Caenorhabditis elegans: one gene and its partners. The protein of the gene in region 1 interacts with the protein of each later gene in a biochemical or structural test. Each region holds a gene or a part of one and is shown in the gene's direction. Other genes may lie near its edges.

Region 1 (3,755 bases):
GTCTCCTTCGGCATCGTCACCCAGATGTTCGCTGTGAGTTTCAGATGTCTTTCAGTACTAGAAGCATAGAATTGATTTCAGAGTCTCTTCTTATTCTGCAGAAGAAAGGACGAGGTGACGAAGACTTCTCCATATGAGCACGTGAGAAACAGCAAACTCCGTTTGTTCTTGTTCCTATTATTCAGTATCTGTGTTCATGTGCTTACGGCTCCTTATCTCAGTAAGTAACAGTTAGCAGACCTAGTGAAACCTTAGATCCTTTCAGTCTGGTCCGGATTGACCATCGCTTTTGACGTCGGTCAGCTTCTCGGCTTCAACTGGTACCTCCCAATGCACTTTGCTTCCGAGATGTTCCCACTTCATCTGACCTTCTTCTTGCTCAGACCCTTTATCTTCCTAATTCTGGCTCTGATCCTCCTCAACCCATACCGCCGTCGTTTTGTCAAATTCTTCTTCCCGTGTTGTAGAAGACATTAGGAACGATCTTTTATTTTTTTTCTGTAATTATTGCTTCCAACTCTTCTTTTTTGCGCCATAATTCTAAACCCCTGTGCCATTGGGCGCCCCCTCAGAAGCCCGGTGCTCCTTCGTTTTTTCTTTGTTTTGTTTTTTTTCAAATCGGAAATATCGCTCTCTCAGAAATTGTGATAAATAGTACACGTTTTACACGTTCCATATGTGCCTTGCCTTACAATTAAAAAATGAATAAATTTTTTTCAAATTTAAATCATTCTTATTTTTACGATGAGTTCGAAAAGTGGTGTTATAGAGTTTCCGGAAGACAAGTGAGTTTTTAATTTTTATTTATAAATTTAAATTTTTGACTCTTTGAAGCAAATTTGTGCATACAAATATGGCTGATTACACTACGGAATTGCTTGATGGTAGTGAGTCAACTACAAAGAGTACAGCAACAGACGAACCACCTAATCAATTGTTTTTGTCATCGTTGCTTTTCTTGAGCTCTGCGATTTGTTCTCTGTGAGCTCACTAGCTATTTTCTACAATTAAACAATAATGGAAAACCAAAATAAAATTTTATTCCAGATTCGCAGCTTCAATTCTAGTTCGTAGTTTTCCATTTTTCGGTTCTACTCTCTCTTTGGTGATCATTCTAGTAACTAGGTTGGCTTTGTTCATCAAGAAAAATAGATCTAATTGGAACATTTTCTAGAGAATGGAATAGGATATACGGTGGACTTTTGAGTCCAAATCTGAAAGCAACAATCAACTATTCGACCGTTATGAGAGATCACAGGTACATCTGAATTCTAGAAAATCACCTATTGTATATATATCCTATATATAGGCATATATTTTGACACTTAAAATAATTAAATTTCCAACTTTCTAATTCAGAGAATACATTCCGTTATACGACATGGACTGGTTGTTCGGAGGAAGATACAAGCCGTACTATTATGGATGCACGGGACCTTCGAACAATCCGGACATGGAGAGAACGCCTGATGAGTGAGAAAAAAGTTTTTTATTTTTTGAAAACGTTATCATTTTTGCAGCCCCGGAAGTCGTTCGCCGACGAAAGAGCGCAAGGAAGGAGAGGTTTTGAAGAAGGATGACTGACTGGGCACTCTCATTCTCACACATTTTGCCGCGAATAAATATTATTTGAATTTCGCGCCCTTCGAATTTATAATTTTCTTGAATATTCTTTTGTGTGCGCGCGAAAACTGCGAACCGTTTTGTAATTTTCTGTTGCATTCTGTCGAAATTAGTTTTCGTGTGCGACACCATTGCGAAATCGCGCGCCGCACTATGCAATTTATTGATCGATAATACGGGCGGTGCTCGCCCCCCTTTTCGTTTTTTGGCGCGATATCCTATTTTTGAACTTTTTCGAGAAATTTCTCTTTCTTATCGATCGGATTTCTGTTTGAAAAATCTAAAATAGTTCTGACAAGTGTCACGAACACGCTGTTTCGTTTGTTTACCTCTCTCTTCTTTTCTCGTTGTGCCTAAAACTTCACTGTCCACTTCTCTTTTACAAATTTGATATTTTTCAGTGTAACCGAACAAAAATGTCGGGAATTGCTGCAGGACGCCTCGCGGAAGAAAGGAAACACTGGCGAAAGGTGAGAATTTTATCATTACATGGCAAGTCGGGGCGATTTGTATTACAAAACCGCTTTAAATCGGTTAAATTCTAAAAATTATCGAAAAATAGTTTGTTTTCATGCCCAAAACTCAACATTTTCAGGATCATCCATTCGGATTCATTGCCAAACCAGTCAAGAACGCCGACGGAACATTGAACCTCTTCAATTGGGAATGTGCAATCCCAGGGAGAAAGGATACGATTTGGGAAGGCGGATTATACAGAGTATGTGAAGCTAGAATTCGGAAATTATCATTTTTCGTTAATTTATTGAGCTATAATATTCGTGAACTGTTTCTCTCAAAAACTGCTATTTGGAATACAACGATATTTATAAATCTAATTCAATTTTCTTTCAGATTCGGATGCTCTTCAAGGACGATTTCCCGTCAACGCCACCAAAGTGCAAGTTCGAGCCACCACTCTTCCATCCAAATGTGTACCCATCAGGTTATTATTGCAGTCCAATAGTTATAATTAATTAATTGAATTCAGGTACCGTGTGCTTATCTCTTCTGGATGAAAACAAGGATTGGAAGCCGTCAATCTCAATCAAGCAACTTCTCATTGGAATTCAAGATTTGCTGAACCATCCAAATATTGAAGATCCAGCTCAGGCTGAAGCCTATCAGATCTACTGTCAGAATAGGTGAGTTTTTTTTATCTGAATATTATAAAAAAAATACACAAATGAATTTATTACAGGGCTGAATATGAGAAGCGAGTGAAGAAGGAAGCTGTGAAGTATGCTGCCGAACTCGTCCAGAAGCAAATGCTCGAGTAGATGCTTGCTTCGTGGTAGTCGTCTATTCTATTCTCCTTTTTCCTCCCATCCTCATTTCATTTAGTTAACTATTTCTGTATGCGGCAACGATTGTTGACACAACTCGAAATTCGAGCACCGAAGCAACTTTTCTGATATCTTTTATTTCAATCTAACCAAAAGCTTTGTCGTGCCTGGTTTTTCATTTCGTGGTTGATGAAATTCGAGAGCTAGAACATTTCGATGACTTTTTCCAAATTTCGTGTGCACGCAAACCCAATCATTTTCCACTGGTCCATGGGCTGAGTAGTCTTTATTCTTTCAAAAGACTATTCCTCATCATTCTTACTCATTTTGATCTTCATCTTTCTTTTTATCCCGTTCTGTTTTCCATCTCTTTTCTCTTCCCCCCAATTCTCTTAAAATCAGGAGCACAATTTAATTGTTGACAAATCCCGTGTATTCCAATTTTCTAAATGGACTTGATTATATTTTTTTTCCCTCAACTTATTTGTATTTTGCAACTCAACCATGAACTGTTCATGTCAGATTCTCCAACAATGTCCGAATTCATGAAAGGTGTGATGCTTCTGAAGCAAGACTTGACTGAAGTTCCTGCCGAAGAAGCTCTGAAGGGCAAGGTGGCGAAATATTAGTGTGTAGTGAAAGATTTTAGAATATGACATTTAGGTTGTTGCTCTTTATTTTTCCGCGGGATGGTGTCCACCGTGTAAGCAGTTCACTCCGAAGCTAGTTGTGAGTGCTGAATCTAGATTTTCCGATTTTCCAATGAGTTTCCACACCCTTCAGCGCTTCTACCATCATCTGAAGAAGGCTGGAAAGCCCATCGAAGTGGTTTTCTTCTCTCGTGATAGA
Region 2 (3,243 bases), on another chromosome or scaffold:
TCCACACGAACAAATACATCAGTTTTAAAAACGGAAAACGAGCCGCGACGCGACACGCAACGCGCCGTAAATCTACCCCAGATGGCCGAGCCAAAATGGCCTAGTTCGGCAAAAACTCTTCCATTTTAAATTATGAGGGAAGCCAGAAATCCGTGTTACTCGTAATTTAACAGGAATCGAGTAAAATATCCGAAAAAATTGGAAAACTATCGATTTAAATATTTTTCCCCAAATTTTCCGCATTTTCAGATATTCCAGTAATCTGCAGCCATGATGATGGACATGATGCAAATGTATTTCCATTTTCGAATCCAAGAGCCCATCCTTTTCCGTCAGTGGAAGCCCACAGACACCACAGGCTACGTTTTCTCCTGTATTTCCCTATTTTTCATCGCGTTTTGCCTGGAATTGCTGAAATTCGGAAGGCAAAGAATGACGAGAACTGTGAAGGAAAAATTGGTGATTTTTTGTTAAAATTTTATCACGGGGGTTCTGGCCTTCCTCATTGAATTTTTCGCGCTCCATTGACAATCGCCTGCCGGACGGGAAAGTCGTGTACTCCACACGGACAAATCACATTTAGTTTTTCAACTAAAATTGAGCCGCTACGCGCCGCCAGATATGGCCGAGCCAAAATGGCCTAATTCGGCAAAAACTCTTCCATTTCAAATTATGAGGGAAGCCAGAAACCCGTGTTTTATTTTTCGGGAATTCCTGAATTCCAAAAAAAAAATTGTAGGCCGTCGATTGCTGTTGCTCAACGCCTGAAGGCATTTGGGAGATTCCGGAAGAGCCTGAGCCGTCGCCACGTGGCAAACTGGCATCGTTGGCTCCGTGAGTTGGCTTAAAATATTCCAGGATACGAAATTCCGAAAAAAGGTGATAAATTGCAGATTTACAATGGAATCCATCTCAAGTTGGAGACATTTTGCGTCTTCTTTTCTATTTTTTCTTCAAAATTTTGTGGATTATTCGTTGATGCTGGTAGCAATGACATATAATTATCCGCTATTTTTCTCGCTTTTAGCAGGTTTTATTTATTTTTTTTTTTTTTTGAATTTTTAGAAGAAAAGCTTAAAATTCGTAAATTTTAGGCCACGCCATCGGATATTTCTTCGTTGGCCCGTTGATGACGGTTAAGGAGGTCGAAAACACTGGAAATTGCTGTTCTTAATTGATTTCATAAATATGTATAAAGCATTAAATTTGAATATATTTTTAATAAAGAAAAATCGATATTCACATTAGAGCGCGCTTGCAATTTCACGATGAGACCTGACGATACCGCGCGAATTAAATCGATCGCTTTTTGGCCTAAAATGCTCATTAACAATTGTTTTTGTAGTTTTTAGCTTAAAATTATATTTTAAAATCCAGTTTGCCTTGTTACATATTGGAAAACGGTATTTTTAGAGTTTTTCCTCAAAAACCAAGCGAAAACCTTGAATTTTGTTCCGAAAACTTGTTCAAAACATTTTTTTCGTTGAAAACTCAAATAATTCACCAATTTATCTATTTTAGGCCGAAATCTCTTATTTTTTCAGTCCAAAAAGCACCAAATTTGGTCAAAAACCTGTCCAAAATCTACCGTACCCTCGTGTTGCTCGTGAAATGCGGTGCATTGTGTGCAAACACCGCGGCGTGAACATGCACACTCTGCAACGCGGGAAATCATTTCGAAAAGGTTTTTAGGCGCGTATTGCCCGATTTTTCGGCTCATTTCGTGTGTTTTCATTTATTTTTGCCTTCTTTCTCCGGTCGCGATGCGTTTAATTAAGTTTTGCTTCTAAATTTCGTCAATTTCGCTGAAAAACCACGTAGAAAACTTGATAGGAACTGGATATCCTAAAAAAAAGGATTTCCTTGAGAAAAATGGGTTTTTTTTCTGAATTTCGCAGTGATATTCTTGAAATTCTCAGCGCAGCGCTCCCCAGACAATCGATATTCCTAATTTTTCAAGCATCTTGTGGCTCAGCCAGCTGTTCTGTAATTATCGATTTTATTTGTTACAGCGTCTATATAAATACCCTAGAAAGTCATCATTCTGCACTCTTAATACCTTTCACTCGTGTGAGTTGCATTCTCCATAGCAACTCTACCTCTCTCCTTCTATCTCTTTTTCTCTTTTCAAATCTAATTTCGTTTCAGAGACTCCCGCTATAAACGATGGCCGATGATGCAGCTCAAGCAGGCGACAACGCCGAATACATCAAGATCAAGGTCGTTGGACAGGTAATTTGACTGGAAATTCGCCGCGAATTTGTTAATAATTCCCAAAAAAATTGCAGGACAGCAACGAAGTGCACTTCCGTGTAAAGTATGGAACCTCTATGGCCAAGCTGAAGAAGTCGTACGCTGACAGAACCGGTGTCGCCGTCAACAGTCTTCGGTGAGTTTTGGAAATCCGCGCCAATTCCTATCAACTTTAAATATTTGCAGTTTCCTCTTCGACGGACGTCGCATCAACGACGATGACACACCGAAGACGCTCGAGATGGAGGACGATGACGTCATCGAGGTCTACCAAGAGCAGCTGGGCGGATTCTAGTCCTCTACCTACACTCTAATCCGAAAACAAACACCCATCCATCCCTTTTCCACTGAGATACTCGGTTTCTCTGTCTCATTTAATCTATTTTCCACATTTCGAATCATATTATACAACCAAAAAAGTTTAAAATAACTTATTTATCTTACAAATAAACTCTTCGTTTTCGGAAAATCCCAAATTTTTAAAAATTAAATTTTATTTTACATGAAAAAATAACACAGTAATAGTAGTAGGAATGATGATAAATTAGAATCAGTAGACAAAAAATCACTTGGACAAGAAATCAGAGACACGAGATTCGATGACCTTCTCCGTCCATTCGCCTCCACTAGCCATGAAGTTCTCGATCTCCTCGACGGTTCGTGGAAGATCGCTCAGATTCTCGTTACCAGAAGCACGAATGATGACGTCATCCTCGATACGGACGCCGCCTGATCCGCGGTACTTGTCGATTTCGGATTTGACGAGGAATTCGCTCTTTTTCGGGTCGGCGAGCGCCTCGTTGAGCAGGAAATCAATGAAATAGCAGCCGGGTTCGATGGTGATTGCCTGGAAGATATCGATTTTTACGTGAAAATTCGGAAAAATTGAGGTTTTCTGGATTTTCCAGCTCCGCGGGGCTAATTTTTCTACTTTTCGATAAAATTTCGGCATTTTGCATGCTTTAACAGCTCAAAACTCAAAAAATTATC
Region 3 (3,755 bases), on another chromosome or scaffold:
AAATTTCAGCAATCCCCTGATAGTCTGCCCAGTGTTAATACTCTCAGTGAGCCCGTGGAGCAAGGCAATCCCGTTCTTCCGGAAAGTTGATTGCATTGCTCTGAAGAGCCAACGTCCGGTTTCGTTATCCGGGCAGAATGTGGCACAGGAAACCGATTTCTATTTTAATCAGTTGCAGAACACGTGGGAGTTGAAGAATTGAGATTTTTTGATAATAAATATTTTGAACTTAATTGAAAATTTTTAGTTTTTTGAGTGCAAATTTCAACAATATTTTCAATCTTACATGAAATAACCGTCTGAAAATAAAAATTGAAAAATTATAAAGTCCCTATTTTTATCGAAAGTTTATGAAAAAAAGAATATGAAACATTATTTTTCCTACGTTACTGGTGTCCCCCGGAAACTTGTGATTTTAAAAGCCTTGGCATCTATACAGGGGTGGGCCGCGAAAGATTTTTTCCGGCAAATCAGCAGATCGGCAAATTACCGGAATTGAAAATTTCCGGCAAATCGGCAAACCGGCTAATTGCCGATTTGCCGACTTTGCTGTAAATTTTCGGCAAATTGTGGGTTTGCACATTTTTTTTTGGAAATTTAAAAATTTCAAATTTGATCGGAAAAATTGCACTCATCCTAGGAATGCTCATACATCTATTTTTAGAAGTAGACAATTCTATGAAAATATCTAAAGAAAACGGGAAAACATTTCACAAAGGCACAGTTTTAAGGGTTTCCGTCTTACATAAAATTCCTCTAAACATTTCCGACAAATTGATAACCGGAAAACGGCAAATGGGCAAATTGCCGAAATTGAAGACTTCTGGCAAATCGGCAATTTACCGAAATGAAAACATCCGGCAAACCGGCAAACCGGCAGATTGCCGGATTTGAATATTTCCGGCAAATCTGCAAACCGGCACTTTGCTGAAAATAAAAATTTCCGGCAAATCGGCGAATTGCCGGATTTGAACATTACCGGCAAATCTGCAAACCGGCACTTTGCTGAAAATAAAAATTTCCGGCAAATCGGCACATTGCCGGATTTGAACATTACCGGCAAATCTGCAAACCGGCAATTTGCCGAATTTGTCGACGAAATATTTGCCGAACGGCAATTGCCGCCTTTCCCTGGTTTATACCTCCAAAAATTGAATAATCTGCTATAAGTTATGGTGATGATTGTTATAAACACATATAATTATATAATACACAAAATAATTGGAATGTATTTTTTTAATCCTTATACATATACATATATCCATAAGCCATCCTCTTTTTATATCTAATCAGGGCTTAACTTCTCTTGCACTATTCCCCTTCAATCTTCCTCTCTCCACATAATTCTTCGTCGTCATACAATTCCCCATCATCTCCTCACTCTTTTGCCCAATTGCCCCGCCCGTAAACCAATCATCGTTCGAGTCGACGAGACACTGTGGTGAAAGAAGAGGGTCGGGGAGGTGTGACTGTGAGTTTGAGTGGGGGTGAGCGTGCGCGCATCACACACTCTCCACTGCGACTCGCATTGATTGATTTGGTCACTCGCACTTTTTTGTTTGCTGTTTTCGTTTTTTATTTTTTTAAAATTATTTTAGTGTTTTGATCGAAAATATAATGTGAAAATTAAAGTATTTAAAATTTTATTTTAAAACCATTTTGGTTAAAATTTAGTTTTCTTTTCAAATTTAGGCTACCGGTATCTAAAAGTTTTCTGCGAATTTCTGTGAGATACGAGTTTTTATTGTGAAGATCGGGCATAACTTTTTGGAGTGTCTGAAAGTTGAATTGACAGTTTTTTTTTTAGAAAAGAAACATTTCCAGAATTTTATTGATTTTTTTGTGTAAAAAATCTACCTCTACTTATTTAAAAATTTATTTTCCTTGTGTAATCATTTTTGAAACAAAATCCCAAGTACCATACACCCCCCCCCCCCCCCCCCACTATACGAGCAATCGCGCTCCATCACGAATCTTGACGCTCCCCTCTCAGCGGGAGATTGTTTTATTGAATTTCACTGCAACATACATTTAAATTAATTTTTTCAAAAGAAATGAGTTCAAACTTGACCAGTAATGAGATGTCATCAACATCTGCAATTGTAGAGCCCCCGGAGGCTGTGAAGGGAAATGAAAGGGATAAGGTATAGTTTACAAATTTTTAAAAATAAAAATAATCGTTTCTCCACTACTTTTACACAAAACAAATGATTTATACCCAGCTCAATATTTTTTTAAACTATTTTTTATATTTTATCAAATGTTGCCCAGTTATTTTCCAATGAGATATAGGGGTTAAAAAAAAAGAAACAAATTTAGTAATTATCAACTTCAAAACCCTCTAACTTGCCGGAAAATAGAGATATGGAAAAATTGTTAACTAACACTTTGGAGTACCAAAATTTATCTACATTTTATTAGTTGACAATTTTTTGATAGCTAACCGTCCCAATAAGTTACAATAGTTTTAAAACTTTCAGTCCACTCGACGATCGACATCTCAAGTGGTTCGACCGGAAAAGCACGAAGTTGAAAATGCATTGGAAGGTGAGTATTTTTCAAATATATTATAGAAAAATTAATAATTGCAATTTTGGTGCTCAAGTTATAATATAAACTCCGTTTTGGCAAATTGCCAATTTTCAAAAAACCCCAATTTCCGAATTTCTCGGAAATTTACCAAAATTTTGTAGTTTTTTAAAGCTCTACTAGACCTTCAATTTTTGAAACTTGCTTACAATTAGTGAAAATAATAATTTTTCAGATCAATGCTCATCAAGCAGCTTACCAAAAGAAGCTCAATATTATGCAAAACTCGACAAAAAGCTAGAGGGCAAAGACCCCCGATCTCAGTTCTACGAAGCGGTACGCCTGTCCGCCGACATTTTTGCTCATAAATTCGAAAAAGCCGTGTGCTCCCGCCAAACGTTCGAGCCGACCAACTCCATCATCAAAGTGCTCAACACTGCCGAGGAGGAGATGCTCCACGAGAAGGTTGTCCCACTACCAGTCAGCTCAAAGCTCCAATACTATCTCAACCGGGGACGTTATGATACGATATTCGATCGTGATGAGCAATTGCAAAGGACTGCTGACCCGATGGCCGACGAGCCGGATCATGTGGAGAAGCGGGTGACGAGCATTTTGGAGCAAGCTTCTCGAGAGATGGAAGAAGGGGAAGTCGAGCCGGTGTTCTATGATGGATCTGATGAGGATCAGGAACTTCCGATTGATCTAGGAGCTATGAGAAATCTGCAAAGGTAGGCACTAGAGCTTCAGAACAAAAAATTAATTAGCAAATATATTATTCCCAAAAGCAAAAAGCCCAAAAAGCGCATACATTTAACCAATTTGTGGGTGGTTTTTTATACGCATAAAGCTACGTTCAGGCCGTTTTTCAGGCCGTTTTCAGGCGTTTAGAATTCTTGAACTAAGAAAAAAAATAGATATTAAAGAATGTCGTGGGATGATTGTTAATGATAACAAAACTCAATATTGCAATATGAAACGGACAATAAGCAATATCTGAGTCATGGCGGAAGGGAAAAAAGTGCGATATTTCGCACAACTATCATATGGCCTGGCTTCCAGATTTTGATCATATCAGTCTTTTCCGTGGTCTCATTACGGTTTGATCTACAAAAAATGTAGGAATTTTTTGCTCAAAAATATGTGACGTCAGCACGTTCTTAACGATACAAAATCGGTTGAGAACTCTGCGTCTCTTCTCCCGCATTTTTTGTAGATCTACGTAG

Evidence for each region.
Region 2: of the proteins of ubc-9 (region 1) and smo-1, one has a biochemical effect on the other in vitro, tested with the Caenorhabditis elegans proteins (one study listed by BioGRID).
Region 3: of the proteins of ubc-9 (region 1) and sop-2, one has a biochemical effect on the other in vitro, tested with the Caenorhabditis elegans proteins (one study listed by BioGRID).

The regions. Positions count from the first base shown.
Region 1 is NC_003282.8:4,649,020-4,652,774, forward strand, and holds ubc-9 (SUMO-conjugating enzyme UBC9), read left to right. Parts: upstream 1-2,024; 5' UTR 2,025-2,039; coding exon 2,040-2,093; intron 2,094-2,218; coding exon 2,219-2,341; intron 2,342-2,475; coding exon 2,476-2,566; intron 2,567-2,611; coding exon 2,612-2,765; intron 2,766-2,821; coding exon 2,822-2,900; 3' UTR 2,901-3,428; downstream 3,429-3,755. Other genes in the region: F29B9.8 (Serpentine Receptor, class T), read left to right, coding at 1-33, 82-220, 266-477; F29B9.7 (Pheromone-regulated membrane protein 10), read left to right, coding at 745-785, 835-981, 1,048-1,125, 1,175-1,258, 1,360-1,473, 1,521-1,584; F29B9.5 (Thioredoxin domain-containing protein), read left to right, coding at 3,440-3,520, 3,570-3,635, 3,690-3,755. UniProt on the Caenorhabditis elegans protein: Accepts the ubiquitin-like protein smo-1 from the aos-1-uba-2 E1 complex and catalyzes its covalent attachment to other proteins with the help of an E3 ligase such as gei-17.
Region 2 is NC_003279.8:1,338,537-1,341,779, forward strand, and holds smo-1 (Small ubiquitin-related modifier), read left to right. Parts: upstream 1-2,141; 5' UTR 2,142-2,166; coding exon 2,167-2,232; intron 2,233-2,288; coding exon 2,289-2,389; intron 2,390-2,439; coding exon 2,440-2,548; 3' UTR 2,549-2,729; downstream 2,730-3,243. Other genes in the region: K12C11.7 (Copper transport protein), read left to right, coding at 271-459, 740-834, 894-1,030, 1,095-1,174; K12C11.1 (Xaa-Pro dipeptidase), read right to left, coding at 2,819-3,100. UniProt on the Caenorhabditis elegans protein: Ubiquitin-like protein which can be covalently attached to target lysines as a monomer. Does not seem to be involved in protein degradation and may function as an antagonist of ubiquitin in the degradation process.
Region 3 is NC_003280.10:12,337,892-12,341,646, forward strand, and holds the start of sop-2 (Polycomb protein sop-2), read left to right. Parts: upstream 1-2,052; 5' UTR 2,053-2,054; coding exon 2,055-2,144; intron 2,145-2,480; coding exon 2,481-2,547; intron 2,548-2,764; coding exon 2,765-3,260; intron 3,261-3,755. Other genes in the region: sre-52 (Serpentine Receptor, class E (epsilon)), read left to right, coding at 10-202. UniProt on the Caenorhabditis elegans protein: Polycomb group (PcG) protein. PcG proteins act by forming multiprotein complexes, which are required to maintain the transcriptionally repressive state of homeotic genes throughout development.